Astyanax mexicanus: one gene and its partner. The protein of the gene in region 2 interacts with the protein of the main gene of each other region in a pairwise test. Links are inferred from orthologs where the notes say so. Each region holds a gene or a part of one and is shown on either strand. Other genes may lie near its edges. The genes, in order: dut and nudt18.

Evidence for each region.
Region 1: the proteins of nudt18 (region 2) and dut interact in binary tests that used the Homo sapiens proteins (3 or more experiments, as listed by UniProt). The two-hybrid records come from large-scale screens. The link is inferred for Astyanax mexicanus from reciprocal best matches to the Homo sapiens genes NUDT18 and DUT.

What each region holds. Positions count from the first base shown.
Region 1 is NC_064416.1:43,817,609-43,828,093, reverse strand, and holds the start of dut (deoxyuridine 5'-triphosphate nucleotidohydrolase, mitochondrial), read right to left. Parts: upstream 4,428-10,485; 5' UTR 4,134-4,427; coding exon 4,031-4,133; intron 1,958-4,030; coding exon 1,795-1,957; intron 816-1,794; coding exon 724-815; intron 1-723. UniProt on the Homo sapiens protein: Catalyzes the cleavage of 2'-deoxyuridine 5'-triphosphate (dUTP) into 2'-deoxyuridine 5'-monophosphate (dUMP) and inorganic pyrophosphate and through its action efficiently prevents uracil misincorporation into DNA and at the same time provides dUMP, the substrate for de novo thymidylate biosynthesis.
Region 2 is NC_064419.1:30,329,502-30,340,160, forward strand, and holds nudt18 (8-oxo-dGDP phosphatase NUDT18), read right to left. Parts: upstream 5,019-10,659; 5' UTR 4,801-5,018; intron 4,665-4,800; 5' UTR 4,574-4,664; coding exon 4,415-4,573; intron 3,069-4,414; coding exon 2,855-3,068; intron 1,640-2,854; coding exon 1,005-1,639; 3' UTR 384-1,004; downstream 1-383. Other genes in the region: adam9 (disintegrin and metalloproteinase domain-containing protein 9), read left to right, coding at 7,221-7,302. UniProt on the Homo sapiens protein: Mediates the hydrolysis of oxidized nucleoside diphosphate derivatives. Hydrolyzes 8-oxo-7,8-dihydroguanine (8-oxo-Gua)-containing deoxyribo- and ribonucleoside diphosphates to the monophosphates. Hydrolyzes 8-oxo-dGDP and 8-oxo-GDP with the same efficiencies.

The DNA of each region.
Region 1 (10,485 bases), on a different chromosome or scaffold from region 2:
ATCTTTTGATTAAAAAGGATCAAACGTACTATGGTTCCCCAAATTAAGGCATGAAAACCTAAAACCTGTCAGTTTTCAGATTTGCATACAGACATTCTGGTGAGGTTTATCTCACACCATTTTGAGATCAGCTGGTTGCAAAGTTGAAAATCAGATTAATGCCCGACTAGTGCTGAACAACAAATATTTAATCATTCTGTATTAAATTATTATTATAACAAGCATATGGAGGATAAACTGTCCCTAAACACTGACCCAAGTTCACATATCATTCGTGTGTTAAAAAATAAATAATTGTTAATTTTATGTGCAGAAAAATACTGTAACGAGGTCTGAAAGATCATGCTTTTACTATAGATCCTCATCATCCCATCCCTACAGGATGAACAGTGGATTAGTATTATTTTGTGCTTAGCTTGAATGCAGTGACCTGACATGCAGTGCCCTGTAAGGTGATTAATGGTTTATTAGAATTCTTTTGATGTAGATCATGTAGACTTATCAGAAAATTACAAACAATTTACATGAGTTAAGGCCATATGTTCTTTTCCAGGAGAGCCTAAACTACATATAACTTAATGTATATGAATTTTTAAAAAATTAATAGCTAAAATGTTATTCTGTAATGATAAACATCCCAGCCTTGCTTTAAAACGAGACGTACATTACCAGAACTTATGTATTCAAGGTGCAAAAACATTAATAAAAAAGGCATCAACTCACCGACTCTGCCGTAGCAGCCATGTGGTACAGCAATCTGAATATCTGTCTTTACAATAGCTTTATCCATAGGTCCAATGGAGTAATCATACGCACTGAAACACAAATAATCAGTGTGAAATTCATGAAAAGTCTGATAGTTCTGCATACAGTTTAAATGATACAGATTAATCAGATAAACCTGTTTCTGTAGCTCTGCCAGAGTGTCTGACTAATCCAAAACATCACATCAGTGTAGTGTAGTGTAGTTAAGTGTTAGCTTGTTCCTTTAGAAGACAAATCAGCCCACATTAGTGCACAATTATAATGGAAAGTGAACTAAAATAAGGTAAAATCATGTCAAGTAATGAAGTAGAAATACTGTTACTTTAAATTAGAAAAATGTTGGTTTTCTATACTTTACAGGATTATTTTTTACAGTAAACTTGTAACTTCTACTTCTTACATTTTCACACAATTATCTAAAACTTTCTTCTCCTTTTAAATTTTAAAATATTTTAAAAATAGCCTCGTTACTCCAATTTCATGTCAGCTCGTTTTCATTTCAGCTTCTCCTCATGATTGTCCTTAACGGCACGTTTTCCACCTTACGTTACTTTTATACTTTAAGTAGTTATGAAAGCAGTACTTTAACTCTTACTTTTACTGGAGTTAAAAGCTTGAGTTGACGCTTGTTTAACTTCTACAGAAGTAAGTTAACGTTATTTTAAACACCAGTAACTTTATCTATACTTCTACCTACAGAACAATGAATAGGATTGGGTAAAATAGGGCCCAAAAATTCCCGCCAAATACTGGGCTTCATTTTACAACAATAAAAGCAACAGCGCCAAACAGCGCTGTTATGATTTTTATTATTAACGTTTTTTAACCCAAAATTATCTCTAAAAACACTTTTAATCTTAATTTTAGCGTTTGTACAAAACCATGTGTCGCTATGACAACACTATCAGACTGTTAGCTAGAGTAGCAGCGTTTCCGCTCCAGTATTTCGGAGAGTAGATAAACAAACAGTTAATAAAACCCTATTAAACCCGTGTTTTCTTCTCTCTCTGTCGGTGTGTGTTTAGTTACCTGTACAGGTCGTAGCCCGCCGCTTTGCTGGAGCCGCGGGTGGGGGTTGTGGCGTTTTCGGTCAGCTTGGCGAATCTCAGCACCCCCTCCTCGATCCGGCTCTTCTTCGCCGGAGAGACGGCGGCGGCGGAGGCCTCGGTTCCATCAGAGCAGGGCATCTTCTCTGTTACAGCGGAGCGAGAGAGCGCGTGTTAAAATAAAATAATAATATTAATCTAAACTACAGCATTAAAACCAGCGACACTTAATAAATAAACCGCGCAGCGCGAGGAGCTTCTTCTGTTGCTGCTTTTAGTTTTTCCGGCGGTTTGTAATTCCCGCTAGACCCTTGAACGTGTTTAAGACCCCGCTCGCGCTCAGGTTCAGCCAATCAAGCTCGAGCATTCGTCTATTACGCAACACCAGAGCGGGTTTATGAAGAGACTGCCCACTTTCTGTATGGAAAAAAAATGACCGCGAGCCGCTAGAGGGAGTCCGCAAGAGAGTGCAAAATTAATGGAGGCAAATGGAGTAACACGGCTAAAAACACACAAAAATATGCATGAAAAAACTTAATGTATTTTGCTAAAAAATAAGCAAAGAAAATGTGCATACACATACATACATACATACATACATACATATAAAAAAATAATAAAATAATTAAAAAATAGAATATCAAAATATTCAACAAGTTAAACTTTCATAGATTTCATATATTATAGATTTAGGGCCCACAATTTAAAAGATTTCAAATATCAAATATTTGTTTCTTTATTTTTAAATAATTTGGGCTTCCAGCTCATAAAACCCCTAAAAAACATGAATTCAAAAAAATTGAATATAGTAAAGAAATCAGCCCAAATTTTGCAGGGCATGAATGTTTTAAAATGAGTGTGACACACTAATCACCTACTAAACTCAAAGCACCTGCACAGGTTTCCCCAGGTGTTATTAAATTGCTTCAGTTTGGTTCAATTGTCTGCAAACTGCAGACATAACAACTGGCCGGAAGACCATCATTAATACCCTTCACAGGATGGGTAAGCCACAAAAGTTCATGGCAAAGGAGGCTGGCTGTTTACAGAGTGCTGTGTCCAAGCATATCAAAGGACAACATGTGGCAAGAGAAGATGCACCAGCTAAAGAGATGACCAAGGCTTCAGCAGATTATCAGAAAGAGAAGATTCAAGAATCTGACAAAGATCCAGAAAGAGTGAAATGAGGCAGGAGTCCCAGCTTTAAAAAACACCACATTCAGACGCATTCGGGAGATGGACTACAGCTGTCAGGTTCCTCGGGTCAAGCCACTTCTAAACGTGAGACAACATAAGCAGCATCTCAACTGGGCAAAGGGGAAGAAGGGCTGGACTGTTGACCAGTGGTCCAAGGTCCTCTTTTTTGATGAAAGTAAAGCGTGCCTTAAATTTAGGAATCAAAGGCCAACAGTTTGGTGGAAGACAGGTGAGAAAACTGAAGTTAGTTTGAGCTGATTTCTCCACAGTATTATTATTTTTTTAATTCCTGTTTTTATGAGGTTCATGAGCAGGAAGCCCATATCATGTTAAAAATAAACAAAAAATGTGTACATATATTATATTATTTTATAGTATATTATATAAATTATTAAACATTAATAAACTCTGTTGCACTTAAACTCATTCATTTTGGTGCGGAGCGCACTCTATTTGTGACACAAACCTGGAAGAGATTCTGAAAAGTGGGCACTCTTCTCTCTTTTTCTGTGGTATCACCCATAATGCACAGCAGCAGGCTAATTTATGGAGATAAAATCTAAGATTAAACCACAGAACTTTACGCATTTTATACTTTAGCTCATAATCTGAGCGACTGTTCACACTGTATAACTGTGTCGCATCTTTTCGTAACAAAAAAAAAAACTGTATCTACATTTACCTGCACGTGTACTGTCGATTTTTTATCACGTTTAACGTTATATGTTTTAAAGTGTTTATATTAATTCATTGGGTTGATTATGAGCTAAGATTATATTTATATAATTTGTTTGAGTGGTAGAAAAATATGTCGGTTCAAATTCAGATCTGATGCTTTTATTCTACGTTAGGAACATTTATCAGTAAACATAGCTAGCTACACTACTGCAGCAGGGTTTATCAGGGTAGCACAAATCGACACAACACCGGTTTTGTGGTTCTCTAACAGTCTAGCTCATGTAATATAAAAATATAATGATATTTGCAAAAGGAACAACAACAACATGATTAAATTCAGTTACCTGTCCCTGTGTGAGAGGAGGAGTGTGAAGAACATGAGCTCCATAAATAATGATAATGTCTCCGTGTTGAGGCAGCAGCTCTCATTGAAAACAGGGGAATCATACTGTCTCCAGGGTTTACTGTCCCACTGCTGTCCTTGCTGTCCTTGCTGTCTCCTGCCTCCTGATCCCAGATCACTCCATCAGAGCTCTGGTCACACTGACTGTCAGACAGACAGACAGGTGTCTGTGTGTTTCTCTCTCGCTGTGTCTGTAGGTTATATTCCCCAGGTCTGATCCAGCGGCAGACGTTTCCAGACTGAGTTAAAGTCTCAGTTACAGTTTACTAATCCTCCGATCTCTCCTGCAGACAGCACGCGTTTCTGAATATTTATGTTTATCCGCTCCGCTTCTTCTGCTCCAGTCAAATGGACAAAAACTTAACTCTACTGCCCCCTGTCTGCATTTATCCCAGTTGCTGCTGTCTGCAACCAAGGCTACGTCCAGAAACTTTTGCTACTCCTCCTCTCCTACTCTTCCTTTCCTACTCCTCCTCTCCTACCCCGGAAGAAGGTGGAGGAATCGAGGAGAGGAGAGCAGGAGGAGGAATGGAGGGAAGCTGATCCCTTTTAGATAGGATGTTGACTACCGTTAAAGTGAACCAATCACAACGCACACTTTCAGCACGTTTCAGAACATTACTATCTCACACAGCTAAAAATTCAAATATTCCAATAAAATCCTCTTTACTCCCAGCCGCATCTCTGACCAGTGACTCTGGCAGCCCTGTCTGACCTCAGCCTTATGAGGGTTTCAGTTTCCACATCAGTCCCTAAGTTAAAATAAATAAGTAAATAAATGAATTAATTAAAAAAAAAAAAAAAAAAAAAAAATATATATATATATATATATATATATATATATATGTTTTTGTATGTATAACATGATACACATAGGGTCATAAATATAGTTTTACTGAGCATACAGTTTATCTAAACTATAAATTATATTACTGCTTTACTGGCTGTTTAATTAGATAAGGAACCTAGTTAATTAATATGTTTATGACGTATATTTGGGCGTTGCCTTCTCCATTTTCGCGTGCTCTGTGGGCGTGGATTCAGTGATGTCATTGGAAAATCCTTAAAAGTCTTAGGATACACTGATGTACCCTCCGTTGGAAGCCTACTACAGGTTGATTTTAAGCGGCTTCTTTCATCTCCTACGGTATTCGGACAGGCGGCAAGATGGCGTCACGAAATCAGTTTCCGGGTCACGGAGGAGAGGAGGAGGATCGGTAGGAAAAAGGAGACACTTTTGGGGTTTCTGGACGCAGCCCAATAGTATATAGCTGCAGCCTCGGAGACTGCAGTTTCAGGACCGCTGTTCTAGGACCATTTGTTTTCACGACACTGTCACCTAGCAAAATTAATGATTTACTACTCCTTCATATAATATCATCACTTTTCACCCAAATATTACCACTTCAGCTAACTACAGATTTAAAGGCTTATTTCACCCAAATATTACTTTGTCTTAGAACTCCCAACCACATATCAGAGACACAAAGAAGACATAGGGCTATAATCGAAATCTTTTTGGAACTTCAAACTACTCTAGTGTCTATTAGAGCTGGGTGATATTGTAAAAAAAACCCTTAATATTCTACAAATATATAAGGAATTCTCAATTCTGATTACGATTTACAATTTTCAGTTCTTATACATATTTTTTTATTTGTAAACAGACAGCACCATTTGAAATGAGGTAAAACTATTGTTCCGTTTAAATTTAATTTTATTTCTTTATTTTTATTTTTTAAGAATAGTAAGCAGCCCCCTTCATGCAGCTTTATATTAAAGATGGTACAAACATAACCTACTTGTATTTCAGTATTATAGGTAAGGAAATGTGTAAAAAGGTTTAAATCCCAATGATTTCTTTACAGGTTTCTGACAGAATCCAGCCAAATTCAACTATTAAAATACAAACACGCACAAAATGTTATTAATTGTAAAAAAAACAAAACAAAAAAAAAACGTCTTATTCAAAACATCTAAATAATTGAATACATTAAATTTAGGGTCCTAGAACTGCGGTCCCGAAAATAGCAGTCTCCGAGGCTGCAGCTATACCCTTCTCGTCTGCAAAGAACTACTGTTTCCTTTATTAAAAAACAAGCAAAAAATAGCTTTGGGGGGTCAACACATTTAAATAAATCTCTTACATATAATGTTAAAGACTACAACACAATGCAGTATCTATGCCTGATACAATTCAAAGCCCCCCTAAAGTGGATCATACCATTCCATCTTAATAATAATCATTCCTCTCCTTTACCTGCTGCTGCCTCTTTAATGCTCAGGTGGCTAATTGAGTCTAAGTTAAGGTGGTACACACGCTGCTCAAGCTACAGCATTACGTGTAAGTAGCTTCTATCTACTTTTCTTTCTTAAATAAGCACTTTAAACACACTTTTCCCTACATAAATAACTCACATGAATGAGCTATCTCACCTTAAATGCTGCTAATTTACCATCCCACCTTAAATGCTGCTGTCGCGGCACTCAGGCTTCAGGCTGTAGATGGTATTTTTGGCGTTTTTAAGGTGGAACAGAAGATTTAAATGGGAATCCACGTTCTGTTTTATTTGAACGTGTAAAACTCTTAAAATACTTTATCATCTACTACAGTCTAAAGAGGAAACTGTGTTTTAACGTAGAGAAAATGTGTTTTAATGCAGGGAAACTGTTAAGGTAGAATTGAAATGTGTTTTAAGGTGGAAGGTAAATGTGAATAAGAAACCAAAAGCTGGTGTATTACACGTTTTTAAGGTAAGACTTATTTTCTTTATTTTCTTTTTATTCAGCTACTTTAAAAAAGTAACAATAGCTAAGCTTTTTTAAAAGGCTTTAGCCGAGCTGTATAAATGCATTCCTACATATCTCCCCTTAACATTTAATATTGTAGTTCCAGTGTCAAAATATGTGGATGAGATGAGGGACAAACGCCTTTTCTACAGGGATTTTCAGTTACATTTTTATTTTCTATTTGTTTAGAATTAAATAATAAATTATTCCTGTGGGAGAGATTCAGTAAAATATAAATTAAAATGTAATGGTAAGAAAGCTTATAAAAGAGAGCAGCCAGTAGCATTGTGTCTTTGTGGTTTTGCAGGATTAACTGTGGATTTTGCTGTATAATATATTATTTATGACAATAAAGGTTATTGTGTGGTATATAAGTGCTACATTAGCTGATGTACAGGGTTTATATTTTATGTGCTTTAGACATACTTGATCCCCCGAAGAAATACTTGAAATTAAAAACCTCTGGAATATAATCAATATAAACTGCTTGAAATTGTGCACCAGGCATAAAGTTATCCAAAAGCAGTGTGTAAGACTGGTGGAGGAGAACATGCCAAGATGCATGAAAACTGTTACTAAAAACCAGGGTTATTCCACCAAATAATGATATATGTACATCTAAAAAAATAAATATATAATTAAAAAGTTACTTTATTTCAGTATTTCAGTTCAAATATATTATATAGATGTATTAAACACAGAGTGATCTGTTTTAAGCATTTATTTATTTTATTGATTATTATTAATTATAATATTAATAAAAACCCAAAAATAAGTGTTTTAGAAAATCAGAATATTATATAAGACCAATTGGTACTTTTTTCAGTGCAGGCAGTGTGCCAAGTCCTGCTGGAAAATGAAATCCGCAACTATATAAAAGTTGTCAGTAGCAGAGGGAAGCATGACGTGCTGTAAGATTTTGTGGGAAAACAAAACTGCACTGACTTTAGACTTGATAATAAAACACAGTGGATCAACACCAGCAGATGACAGACATGTCTCTCCAAACCATCACTGATCATCAGTAAATGTTACATTTCATTTGTAAATCAAGGGATCAGAGTCTGGAGGAAGAGTGGAGAGACACACAGTCCAAACTGCTTGAGGTTTAGAGTGAAGTTTCCACCAATCAGTGATGGTTTGTAAACAGCGCCAGAGGTCCGTGTTCATCTGCCACAGTAAGTAAGTTAACATATTGGGCGTTTTAATATCTCATATTTCACTCACACACACACACACACACACACACACACACACACACACACACACACATACTCTCTAAAAGAAGTGTATTTCAGACAGCTGAGATCACTGTGTTTACGTTCTGATGTTATATAAACATGTGAGGTATAGTATAGTTAGCTCTGCTGTTCTGATATGGTAAAAAGCTTTACCAGTATTATTTTTGAGTTGGTAATTTTGGTCAAAATGAGTGAACCCTGTAGAGTTTATTGTGTTTCTGAGTGTATGTATTTCTCAGATTGAGCTCTTTGGTGTGGTGTGTGTTTCATGTTCATGTGTATTCTATTGGCTATTTTAAGCAGCAGTTTTACATGTTGCTTTAAGGCTGATATCTTGTGGACTGCTGGCTATTCAACTGTAATGTGTAAATAAAAGGTATTACATGATACCTTTTTGAATCCTGCATCTCAAAATTAACCCTAGATATAAAAAAAAAAACTAATACTAAAACTAATGAAAACATAAAAAATGCATAAAAAATAAATAGTAATAAAAATTAGCAAACCTGCTATAAAAAAAACTAAAAATAACTGGGAAGGGGAGAAAGTCAAAACGAAATAAAATATAAACTATAATTAAAAATTCTAAACTATTATAACCTTGGTGTGTCAGTGCACATAAGACGTTTCTTCAAGACATTTCTTTAGAAGTCAAAGTGAAAGGGCATTTTCACACAAGCACTATTTGGTCTGGTTGAAACGGTTCGGTTCGATTGAGCAGGTGTGAAAACAGTAATCACACTCTGGTTTGGATCAAAACAACCAGAGAGAGATCTACTAGAGGAGTTGCTCTATCTCCGGTCCTAAACAAACTCTGGAGCTTGTGTTCACTTGTGCTGAGAACGTGATCTTGTTAGGGCTCAGCCAGTTCCCGCAGCGGCCACCAGAGGCCGCCATAAACGCACCAAGGTGGTAAGAAGGGAACCGGCTGAGAGTTCATTAGAACAGGGATCATTAAGGCCACCTGAAGCCAATAACGTGTCATCAGCCTCAGCTGTGGTACCGTCTTTAAAAAGGCGAGCTTCCAGCAGACTGATGTCGCAGACTTCATGCCCTGTGACCGGTGAACGGTAGCTCCACGGAGCAGAGCTGAAAAGAAAAAATAAAAGAAAGCTTGCAAGGTTGAAAAGAAAAGAAATCAAAGAGAGCTTGCAGAGCTGAGAGAGAGAGAAAAAAAGGAAGCTTGCAAAGCTGAAAAGAAAAAAAATATATAAAGAATAAATAAAAAATAAAGGAAAGCCTGTGAGGCTGTAAAGAAAGAAAGAAAAAATAAAAGAAAGCCTGCAAGGCTGAAAAGAAAAGAAATAAAAGAAAGCTTGCAAAGCTGAAAAGAAAGAATAAATAAATATATAAAAGAAGAAAGCCTGCAAGGCTGAAAAGAAATAAAAGAAAGCTTGCAAAGCTGAAAAGAAGCAATAAATAAATTAATTAATAAGAGGAAGCTTGCAAGGCTGAAAAAGGAAAGAAAGAAAAGGAAGAAAAGAAAACAAAATAAGAGAACAGAAAATAAAAGAAAGCTTGCCAGGCAAGAAAGAAAAGATAAGGGAACGCCTGCAAGGCTGAGGAGAAAAGAAAATATTTTTATTTTCTTGATTTCTGTTTCTATTTCTGTCTTTCTTTTATTTCAAACGGAGGCATTATTTAGTTAGCTTTGTTGCGCCGAAATTATTTTCCCCTTTTTCTTTTATGCACACACAATTATAGTAAAACCCCTTTTCGTTATATCGCTGCACTTGGCTCCTCCCACACCCCTACCATGACAGATCCGGTCTCAATCCAACTCAGCTATCAAATATACTCTTATTTATATTTATTTGAGCTTAACTGCTGGTAAGGCGCAGATTAATATGATGCATTAGCTAGATCATTCTAATTACCACAACTTTGAACAAACGCTGTCTCTGCTGCTCCGTGCTGTTTTCACGCCAAATCTATGATGCGTTCACTGCTTACCGCACTGCACTCCCATAAAAAAAAAAAAACACTGTGTTCTGTGTTAAAGCAGCTTTGAACTGCACAGATCTATGCGCTGTAACACAGAATCTTCTCACTATATTTACTTTTTTGCTCCCACGCCACACTGCTCGCCAGACAGAGGAGACAATGTGCTTGCGTGGTTTATTGGTGCGCATTTTAATGTGTTTAGGTTTATGCCTGTGTGAAACCAAACCAAACAGAGGAAGAAACGTTCCAAATAAACAAACTCATCAACTGATCCAGATCATAAAAACTTTCACGACTACAGGTATGAAAACGCCCTTAGTTACTTAAAAGAACAAACTGACGGGCATGACTGACAGATCTTTAAGGTTTTTTATTGTGTACATTTCAGTGAACAAAATAATAAACATTGAAAAGTTCAAAA
Region 2 (10,659 bases):
GGGGCCCGGAATCCGGCTGCGGGGAGAGCAGCGGCGCAGCATTGATAACATTTCTCAGCCACGTGCCATGAGTCTGATGTTAAGTGAAGTTTAAGGGTTAACTTTACCTTGCACTCAGTGCTATATCTTTATAAATAAGGCTGTATCTCTGAAAACATTTTGTCTTTTGAGTTTTAGAGCTGTAAAATTGACTGTGTGGGGAAGGCAGGTAGGCGTTCTCTACTGCAGTGCTGTTAGCCAATCAGAGGCGATATATTTGCATGTATAAATGTTCTGGAGCAAGAGCCCAAATCCTGTCTTCCTTCAGAGACCAGTAATTTGTGATCAGTAATTAGTGATCTAAAGCAGGGCTAAATAGAAACACCTGAGCCCTTTTCTTTCACAAAAAAACAGCTCACATGGCATTCATTCATACTAGAGACCACAACTAGACATTTAAAAATGAATAAAAAAACGATGGAATGACACCGGCTCCGGCACCAGCACTTTGTTGGTGGTAAAGAGGTATTTATGTCTTTAATACAGTGTAGTAATGCTGCATAGCGCATTTTGGCATGCTGAGGAATCGAAACAGTGCCTGGAGTCAATGCATTGACATGCGGTTCTAGTGTCAGTATGTGATTCACTGGTATAATTATAATATAACTTTCTTTCTGTGTCCTTTTCCTGTATACATTACATAAATATTTTTTCATAAAAACTGTGATTTCATTGTTTTTTTTTTTATACAATTCTAAAGCAGTGATGGATTTTTTTGAAATCAGCAAAGAAGTCTTCAACATTTCTAAAATGTCCTTATCCCATTATCCACTATAAACTCCGATAATATAGAACTCTGAAATCAATATGCAGTCTATTGCTCATTAGTTTGGTCAGATGAATGGTGTAAATGGCTTAGATAATAAGGTGTCGTTCTGCAACAGCTATTCCCAAAAACATCTTAAACTAACATCGGAGGCCATGTCCAACCATGCTTTACAGTCAGAAGATCTCAGTCCATCCCATCATCGAAGGCTGTATAAAGGTAGAAGGGAGTTATATTTTATTCTCTGCAGTATCTTTGTCCTCAGCCTTTGATTGATCACCTTATGCCATTTATATCTCTTATTCTCCAGTGGTGGTGGACTTTGATGATCTCCTGGAAACCCTTCTATATATTCCACCGTCACTAGTGTGTTCAAACAGAGCCCGTCTGTTTTGCCATGAACCCTCCCATTATGCTGCACGCTCAGGATCCCGCTGATGTCGACATGCAAGGCTTCACAAGGGACCATGCACTCCTGGAGCAATCTGCGGCCTGCCCATGTGACTGTGTGTTTTTTCACTGCTAGTGAAACAGGAAGGTGAGGGTGTGTCTCAGCATCACTGTCAGCAGAACCATTGCACAGCAGCAACCATACATTCTCTTCATTGTCAGGGTCACTGGGGGCAAAGACCAGAAGTATTCTCTGACAGACCACTTCACAGGGCAGGTCAGTGGGCAGACACACTGGGAACCACGGCTTCTGGTGGTACTTGAGGCCGGCCTCTATAAGGGTCAGGATGTCCCAGGCACGAAGAGGAAGATGTGCCTCTCGATCCCACCACTGAGCCTGCAGAGACTCAGAATCTGCTTCAGCCCTTGTCTTCAGACTGCCACCTGATGGAGGAGAGACAGTAGGACTGGTGTGAATAAAAGGATCTGACCACACCGGGACAAAATCAAAAATCAGCCAAGAATCATCCCAAACAGTTATTTAGCATGAATTTAATTCAGTAGTTGTGTATTATAGAGATATGAAACATAATGAAACCTTATACCCAGGGGTTCGAATTGGAAAGACCAATCAATCATTCGATCAACAGACTGTAGCTTCATTGTATATAGCAATGTATTTCATCAGCGCCAATCAATAACCTTAAATACCAAACAGCAACTTCACAGGAGAAGGACAAATCCTACCCAACATTCATGGTAAGTCAATGTACAAACACTTTCAGTCCGTAATTTTTTGTTGAGAAAGTGCAATTGCACTGAGCATACATAAGAGTACTTTTAAAATGTGCATTTCATAGCAGAAGAATGCAGTGGTTTTATCATCTTTCTTTGGTTTAACCATGCATGAATATGCAGATAGAGGCTGAGGTTGCTGTTCTGTTTCTCCACATTAGCAATCACTCTAGCAAAGTAGAAGCATTAGCAACGCTACTGTTGCTCAGGTAACCAACAAAAACTGTTGTGGCCAGAAAAAACTCTCGTAAAGACTTGCCAGACACCACACTGTTTTCGCCACTTGTCCCCTTCCACTTACCAAATACCACTGTGATTAATTTAAAAGAAAAGTAGTACTGAATAAAAAGTATTTTAAATGTTTAGACACTAGACGTACAGTATTTTAAGCCTAGAGGTTGTTAATTTCCACAATTCTACAGTTAAACTCACCATTTAAGGGCTCAAAGCATTATGTTTACATGCGGAAGAGTAATTCAAATTGCTTATTACTATTAGGTTAACAATAATTGAAAAGCTAATAAAGGATTAATAGCCAACTCATTATAAACAATGTCAGCTGGCTTTTGACATGAATGTTGGAAGAAAAAACCCTTTAAAGGTTTTTTGATTTCCCACCTCTGGAACATGTACTGATTTTTGACATAATAATGGGATATCTGCCATAATAGAATAATAATATTATAACTTATTAGAAATTTTGTTTTAACTACCATTACAATAATCAACATGTACAACCTACCAACTAATATCGTCATCATCATCATCATTTGCTCGCTGATCCACACCTATCATAGACCAAAGATATTCAGCTAGATCAGAGACCCTCTCTAGTACTGGTACCATGATTCACACCATCCTGACCTGTGATCTCAGCGAGGAAGGTGAAGCGGATCCACTGCGGGCCGCTTTCCTGCACCTGCAGCATGGTGACCGGCTGACAGTCCACTCCAGCCTCCTCTTTCACCTCCCTCTGCACAGCCTCCTCAATACTCTCCCCCGGTTCCATGCGGCCTGCGGGAAGGTACCACTGCCCATAGCAATCCTTCTTCGCCTCCTGCACCATCAGCACCTCCCCCTACAACCCATTAACACACACAGTTATATGTAGAGCCTTCTTTAGAGTGCATTATAGATTGTTTTAATCAAAGACTGGGCCAAATGTGTACCATCTGGATGCTTTTGAGGACTATGAGATCTGTAACTCTAATCTAATCTGAGGCCAGATTTATCAAACCTGTGTTCTTCTTGGACAGCAAATGGACAGAGTGACCTCAATGTGACCATTTGAGGATGAGATTGTGGGTGAGATGAAGTCTTCATTTGTAATTTAATTGTTGCTTTTAGGTGTAGGACCTTGTTAGTGCCATGTAGTTAAATTTGAGTGGGATAGTAGAGTATAGGAGAAGGAAATGGGCCCTATGTATAACACTAGTTTTTAGTTTTTAGGGATTTGCCATCTCCTACTACCTGCAACTAATTACACAGGAACACATTTGCCAGTGTTTTTCACAAATTATTTGGAGCTTGCACACTTTATAATTTTTTAAGCTAGCAGGGCGAAATTTTTTGTGTTTCTGGTCAATACACTTATTCTATAAAGCATGACACAAAGGAAAATATCAGGAGTGCCATATTGTGAACTAGAGTGTCTACTTAATTAACCAATGTTATATAATTAGCTAGTAATCCTAATGCTGAAACTAATGTGCATTACTTGGAAATGGTTTGTTTAGCATAGCCGGTGGAGTTCCAAAGGGTTCTACTGTATATTCTGCAGAATCTGTGCTATTTGCATCCCCAGTAAATTACATGTAGAAATGTGCACAAAAAATAACTGTAAAATACTTTTTACTATTAAGTCTTGTTACTTTCGGTCATTTAACTTATATAAAGAGTAACAGGACACATTTACACATTTGTTTAATAAATTGCATGATAATAAATGTTATCAATTTCAGGTTTGGGTCTAAGATAAAAATGGCTTTGTATATTTTAGAAAAAAACTGTGCATGCATATATAGTGATTATTTTATCGTGAGTTGTCATTAGATTTAATGTTGAAAAAACATAAGATAAGAAAATAAGTTAAAAGTTAAATAATATAGTTAAATAAAGTTAAATTTAGAAGAGTTGCTACTAGCAAATGGCATCAAGCCCAGGGCCTATTAAACTGATGTTAATCATGTTTTAACTGTAGCTAGTTAAGGACGTACAAGGCCGAAGAACTGAAGTGTGGGCTGCTGAACTAGTTTAGTACTGAACACAAAATAATGTATTTTCTAAGGTTATCTGGCATGCCACAGTTTAGAACCCCCTGTATTGGAAATATGGATGTAGGTTCTACACCACTCTTATTTTAGGGGATTTCATGTATTAAAACATACTTTAACATCTACATCCTAAAGAATGAGCCCACATTACCTTGGCATTGAAGATGACTGCAGCAACAATATAACAAACATTCGACCTAAGGGTGACAGGCTTCGGCTCCTCGGGGGTCCAGTCATATTCTGTGACCTCCAGTCCTTCACCGTTCAGGATCTTCTCCACGGTTTCTTCTTCAAGTCCCTCAGAGCCCATATTGCTGATTGGGACACCGCCAACTACAGCCAATTCAGTTTCACTTTGGTTCAGCGCCGTGCTGAGCTAATGCCTCAACCACCGGCCAGTTCTGCTCGCCGATAAAAAAAACAAGAGCATAAAATATATGTTATATCGCTTTTATTACGAATTAAAAGTTATATCAGCAAATTGTTATCAAAATGTTAACCATAAAAAGCGAAATGCGCATAGCTGTGTATACGTACCCACAACAAGCCTGCCTGTACGCAAAGCGCTGCTAGCTGCAATGCTATTGGCTGTAAGAGTAAGGGACCGGGGTTAAATGACCAACTTGTTTTAAACAACGCACATACTTTATGACTTATTTTCATTTTGGGATAAAAATACGTACTCAATATCGGAAAATAATACTGATAATAGAGATTAACTACTGTTGCTAAACAGAAACAACGCTTTAGCAAAGTTATAAGACGGATCTAATATCGAACCGCTAGATGCAATTTTACATAGTTTTGAGTACACCCCTACTTTCCCAAACAAACTGGGGCGAAGAAACCTAGTCATACTAGCTTTTCGAGATCTTACCGCAGAAACGCAAACACAACTGTAGCGTTAACTATAACGCTTGTGGACATGGGTTAAAATGCATTTATCTGTACTTATACTTAACGAGCCCAGGAGTTTTGTACCAAAACTGCGTTAGAGAAGTAAAAAAAAATGTTAGGGACACCGATGGGTGCATGTCAAATTGGCGTGTAGTTCCCTAGATAGTTAACAAGCTGAAGTAAAAGTGTAACTGATAATACCTTAAAGGATTTGACAGACACTCTTATTTAGAGAAACTTACATTTACACTGTATGGGAGTGTAGTTGGATCCTTATTTGCAGCTTCTGATACATTTAGAGCCTTATTTGATGCATTTACATTGATAGGTAAATGTGAAGTTATTGGTGTAGTGTCCTTGTGGACACATGGTAGACCACCTAAATGATGTTCCAGTTATTGTTGGCTACAGTAGTGGAATTCAACTGCTCAACTACCTGAACATATTTAAACCAGTGATATTTTTGCCTGGTCCAGCTAAATATCTGTTTGACGAAGAACCAGCAAATATTCAACCAATGATCATCTGAAGTCAGTCACCCTCAAAAGTTAGCCTAAGCTGTATTTTCTACATTAATGTCCAATTCCATGCAATCACATAATTATCAGCCAGTCAGGTATTTGATTGCCCATGAAAATCCATGAACTGTTAAGTATAAATATTAGTAACAGTCTAATGTTGCATTCAGGTTCACTTAGGAAGCTTGGTTCTTACATCTTTTGAGCTCATAAATTTACGACATGATTTCTTTACAAGTAGTTTAGGTAACACAAACATCCTATATATTGTTTTTTTTTCTTTTATGTATCTGTGTTTTTCTTTTACCAACAAAAAACAAGTATGTTCAGTTAATGTAATCAAAACAAACTTATAAACAGCAAAGTATCCAGTAGAAGTATCAGTAGCATATTGCAGTTGCTGTTATTGAAACAGCCCTAACTCTTAAAGGTACTGAGAAAAAAATCCCTGTTTTTCACTGGAAAATTAGAAAATTTTGGTGGTATTCATGTACAATAATCTTTATGACTGTGTATTAGCAAAAACCTAGAGATACAATAGGTGTCATTGCAGTTATGATTTAATATATTGCAATACAGTAAGCATCGTGATATTTACAAACAGCTCTGTAAATAAAAAAGAGGCCACTTAAAAATGATACATTTCTTTGATTTTACCAAATTGTAAACCTCTGGAATATAATCAAGAGGAAGGTGAATGATCAAAAGCCATCAAACTGCTTGAATATTTGCACCAGGAGTGGAATAAAGTCATCCAAAGGCAGTGTATAAGACTGGTGGAAAAAACAAGGGTTATTCTACCAAATATTGATTTCTGAACTCTTAAAGCTTGAATATGAGTATAAGTTTATTTTCTTTGCATTATTTGAGGTCAAAAAGCTCTGCATCTTTTTTGTTATTTCAGCCATTTCTTATGTTTTGCAAATAAATGCTCTAAATTACAATATTTTTATTTGGAATTTGGGGGAAATGTTGTGCATAGTTTTGTAGAATCAAACAACAATGTTAATTTTACTCAGATATATACCTATAAATAGCGGATTTAGAAACTGAAGTGGTCTCTTTTTTTTTCATAACTGTATTTTAAAACCACACATTCACTCAGTACTGAGAGTAGGGATTAGGGCGTAGGGAGCCACTTTGTGTAGAGGGCATTGTTAAATGAGATGTTCCCATTGTCGACCTCTGTCGTCGGTCTGGGCTTCATTGCAAATTCACGTCCGACCCTCATGAGTCTACAAGCTTTCTGTCGGATAAGCCAGCAGTCCCATTTCTGAGAGGATTACTTTGAAAACAGTCGCCTGTGTGGAGGAACATGCTTATCTCAGCAAGCTTTAACTGAAAGAGGCAGAGCGGAGATGAAAATGAGCAGGTAGCTGAAGTTCTTTACGGCTGTTTTAATTTTTTACCTCCTGATAGGAGCGTTATGTGGAGTCCAGCGGGCTCTTTGCCATTGCTGGGAAGGCGACGCCTGGATAAGGAAAAGCTACCAGAAACTGACTGTTAAAAATCCTCAATTCACCGAATTATTTTGGAGAAATAATGGCTGTTTTACAGTCTTCTCTTCGCATTCAGGCAGCGTGTGTCCTGTTTATGCTCTTCCAGCTTTGGGACTGCAGCGAAGGTAAGTAAACAGTAAACACTGGGGAGCTCCATGTCGGCTTTTTACAAGTTTCCGGTCCACCTTAAATAGTGCAGCAGTTTTACACAGCCTCGCGTCAAGGCGCCAGACCGTTACTATAGCGCTTTTTAAGGTGGAACGGAACATTCGAAGTTGAACCTTCTCAACACTGTTACAGTTTGCAGAAATCAGTGTTTTTGTTATTATGACGAGGTTTTATTTCTGTTCCATCTTTCTGAAACATTTTTTAGTAAAAACTTAAGAATATTAAGCTGTTATTTTAATTTGTATTAAACTAAAAGTTTGGGACACTTTATATATCTAGGATAGTTAACTGTTAACTAGCTACGTTAACAGTAACATTTTGAAGACTGGAAATACCTTTACCAAGACAAAAAAGAGAGAGAGAACAAATTGGGAAAATTGCTTTTTAGGTTTGTTTGTACATTTTTATATATTTAAATATATTTGACCATTTAGTCTTTTGTATGGTAGAGATGTTTTTACTGTAAGCAGGATCACGTCTAGTCTACACACAGACTTGTGCTATCTCTGACTGTAGGAATAGCAACTATCTAACCTACACGTTTAAGAAGCTTACAGGTGCTCTGTAAAAGCTTATGTGTGTTAATGCTCAATGTCTGCATAGTGAGACTACACATAGACTAAGGACACACATATCCTGTATTTCATTTTTTTGTAAAGTATTGATAATTTGTTGTAATATAAGAGAGACCAGGGGTGGTCATTAATTTTTCCAAGGGGCCATAAAATACACTGAAACTGTTTTGGAGGGCCAGACCAACAGATTCAACCCAATGTGTCTCAGTGTTATTTTTTATTTTTACAACAAGACTAACAGGCCACTTAAAATGACAAGTTTCTTTGATTTTATCACATTAAAAACCTCTGGAATATAACCAAGAGGAAAATGGGTGATCACAAGCCATCAAACCAAGCTGAACTGCTTGAACTTTTGCACCAGAGGTGGCATAAAGTTATCCAAAAGCAGTGTGTAAGAGGTTGAGGAGAACATGCCAAGGTGCTTGAAAACTGTCATTAAAAACCAGGGTTATTCCACCAAATATTGATTTCTGAACTCTCAAAACTTTATGAATATAATCTTATTTTCTTTGCATTATTGGAGGTCTTATTTCAGCCATTTCTCCTTTTCTGACAATGACAATATTTTTACTTGAAATTTGGGAGAAATGTTGTCCGTAGTTTATAGAATAAAACAACAATGTTCATTTTACTCAAACATATACCTATAAATAGCAAAATCAGAGAAACTGATTCAGAAACTGTGCTCTCTTATTTTTTTTCCAGAGCTGTATGTCGAAAAGAATACTGACGGTGTTCTAATTCGTGAACTTGCTCTACTTAAATGCTTTGCAAATAAAATGGGAAATTCTCCATGTCATATGCCAAGCAACATCAGCATTGTGAAGCAGTGGATCTGCATTTTGTGGTGATCTGCTCTGATGGAGCTCCTTCCATTGCTATTTGTATAAATGAAGTGGCAAAACTGATCATCCAACAACATCACTGATCCTCTCAGAGGTTCAGGATCTATTGTAAAGCCTTCCTAAAAGAATACTGGCTGTTATTGCAGCAAACTGGGACAAACTCACTATTAAACTCCTTAATTTAAGAAGAAATTTAAGAAATGGTGGATGAACAGGGGTCTACAACCTTATCACCAGTGTTTTTCAGAGAATAGGGAAGTGGAACTTCTTAGTCTATCCTGCGTCTGTCAGCAAGTTTATTAGGCTTTGTTGTTCTCTTTGTGGATCCTTTTGGTATAAAGATAAAAGCCTGAAGCTCTAAGTTAAAGTGTGCAAACAACAAACAATAAAGCGGCAGAAAACAACAGAATGCCATTAAATCCAAAAAAATGTATATTTGTATTTGTTTAGTTATATTGCCTCCGTCCCTTAGTATTGTTAAGTAAAGATTACGCATTCATACATGCTTAATGTTTCTCATGATTAATCTGAAAATCATGAGAAATCATATCATGTGACCAAGTTTACAGAGATTGGTGATGAATTAACAGTAATATTTAACAATATTTAACAGTGTCACTACTACCGGTAGCAGAGACTGTAGCATCCTCTCACTTGCTGTGCACATCCTGATTGTAACTGCAGGATTAGTTCACAGAAAGTGAAAGTTGGACATCACTTACTTAAGTCTCGTCTCTGAGGGAAACCGTGTGTAACAAGACAGAAATTGAACATTCTTAATACAATGTTTGCAAAGTGGGGGTTATTGTTTTCCTGTACTAATGCCAGCACATAGTCTGGGATTAGAGTGAGAAAGAGGCTGATGGCTGGCTGCTGGTGCATTTCCATAGCCAGTAAATCACACTGTGTGGTAATGAAAGCAGGGGACTTTGGGACACTTTACTGCTTACATTATCCATTTTCTCTCAGCATGACAGGACACAACCATTCAATTACTCACATTTAGCCTTAAAATTGTCCCAAGCAGTGATCCTTTACACAAAATGAGCATACAGCACTCTTAACACTATATATAAATGCGTGGAGAAACTGAGTCATGTTAAAGCGTTCAGAGCCATTTAAAAAAAGAACATGTTCAGGCTTTGCTGTCTGTTGTTCATCACTGGATATTGCCTCTATTGTTCCAGACCTGTAGGACACCTTAAAACTATATACCAGGGCTGTGTATTGGAGTCTTAGAAGCAGTCTATTTTGTATTTGTAAGTTGCTGTTGTTTACAGGTTTACAGATTTTCTATGCAGTTACATTTATACTAAATAAACAATAAGTAACATTTATTTTGTTGCAATTGTTTGTTCCTGAAATATTAATAAATTAATAAATATTTATAAAAAAAGTACCCTTAAATGAACACACAGCAAAATTGACAGTGTTAAATGAACTCTTCGAAAGTTAATTCAACACCATATGGAGCCATATATTAACTTTCTTTTTTTTAAGTTAATTTTAATTTATTTTTGTATATTTTCTGAACTTCACCCAAAAATACAGTATATACCATAACATTACAGTATATATAAAGCATAAAATGTGAGCTACACCATAGAATAAATTCCTTTTTTATCCTATCTAAGCTTTATTTAGAATAAAAGAGACGAGAACTGCCAAAAAAGCAGTGATTCTTCCGTAACACAATAACTCTTGGGTGAAGACCCTTATCCACCATCTAACCCAAAACCAAGAGGGTAGATAAAACTTTATCAGGACAACCACTACAACACACACACATGCTGACTGAATAACTCTGAATACTACCACCAACTCTGTGGATTGTTTACTACTGAGGGTTGTTAGAAAAACAAACTCCTAGAGTTGAAAAATGTTTACACTG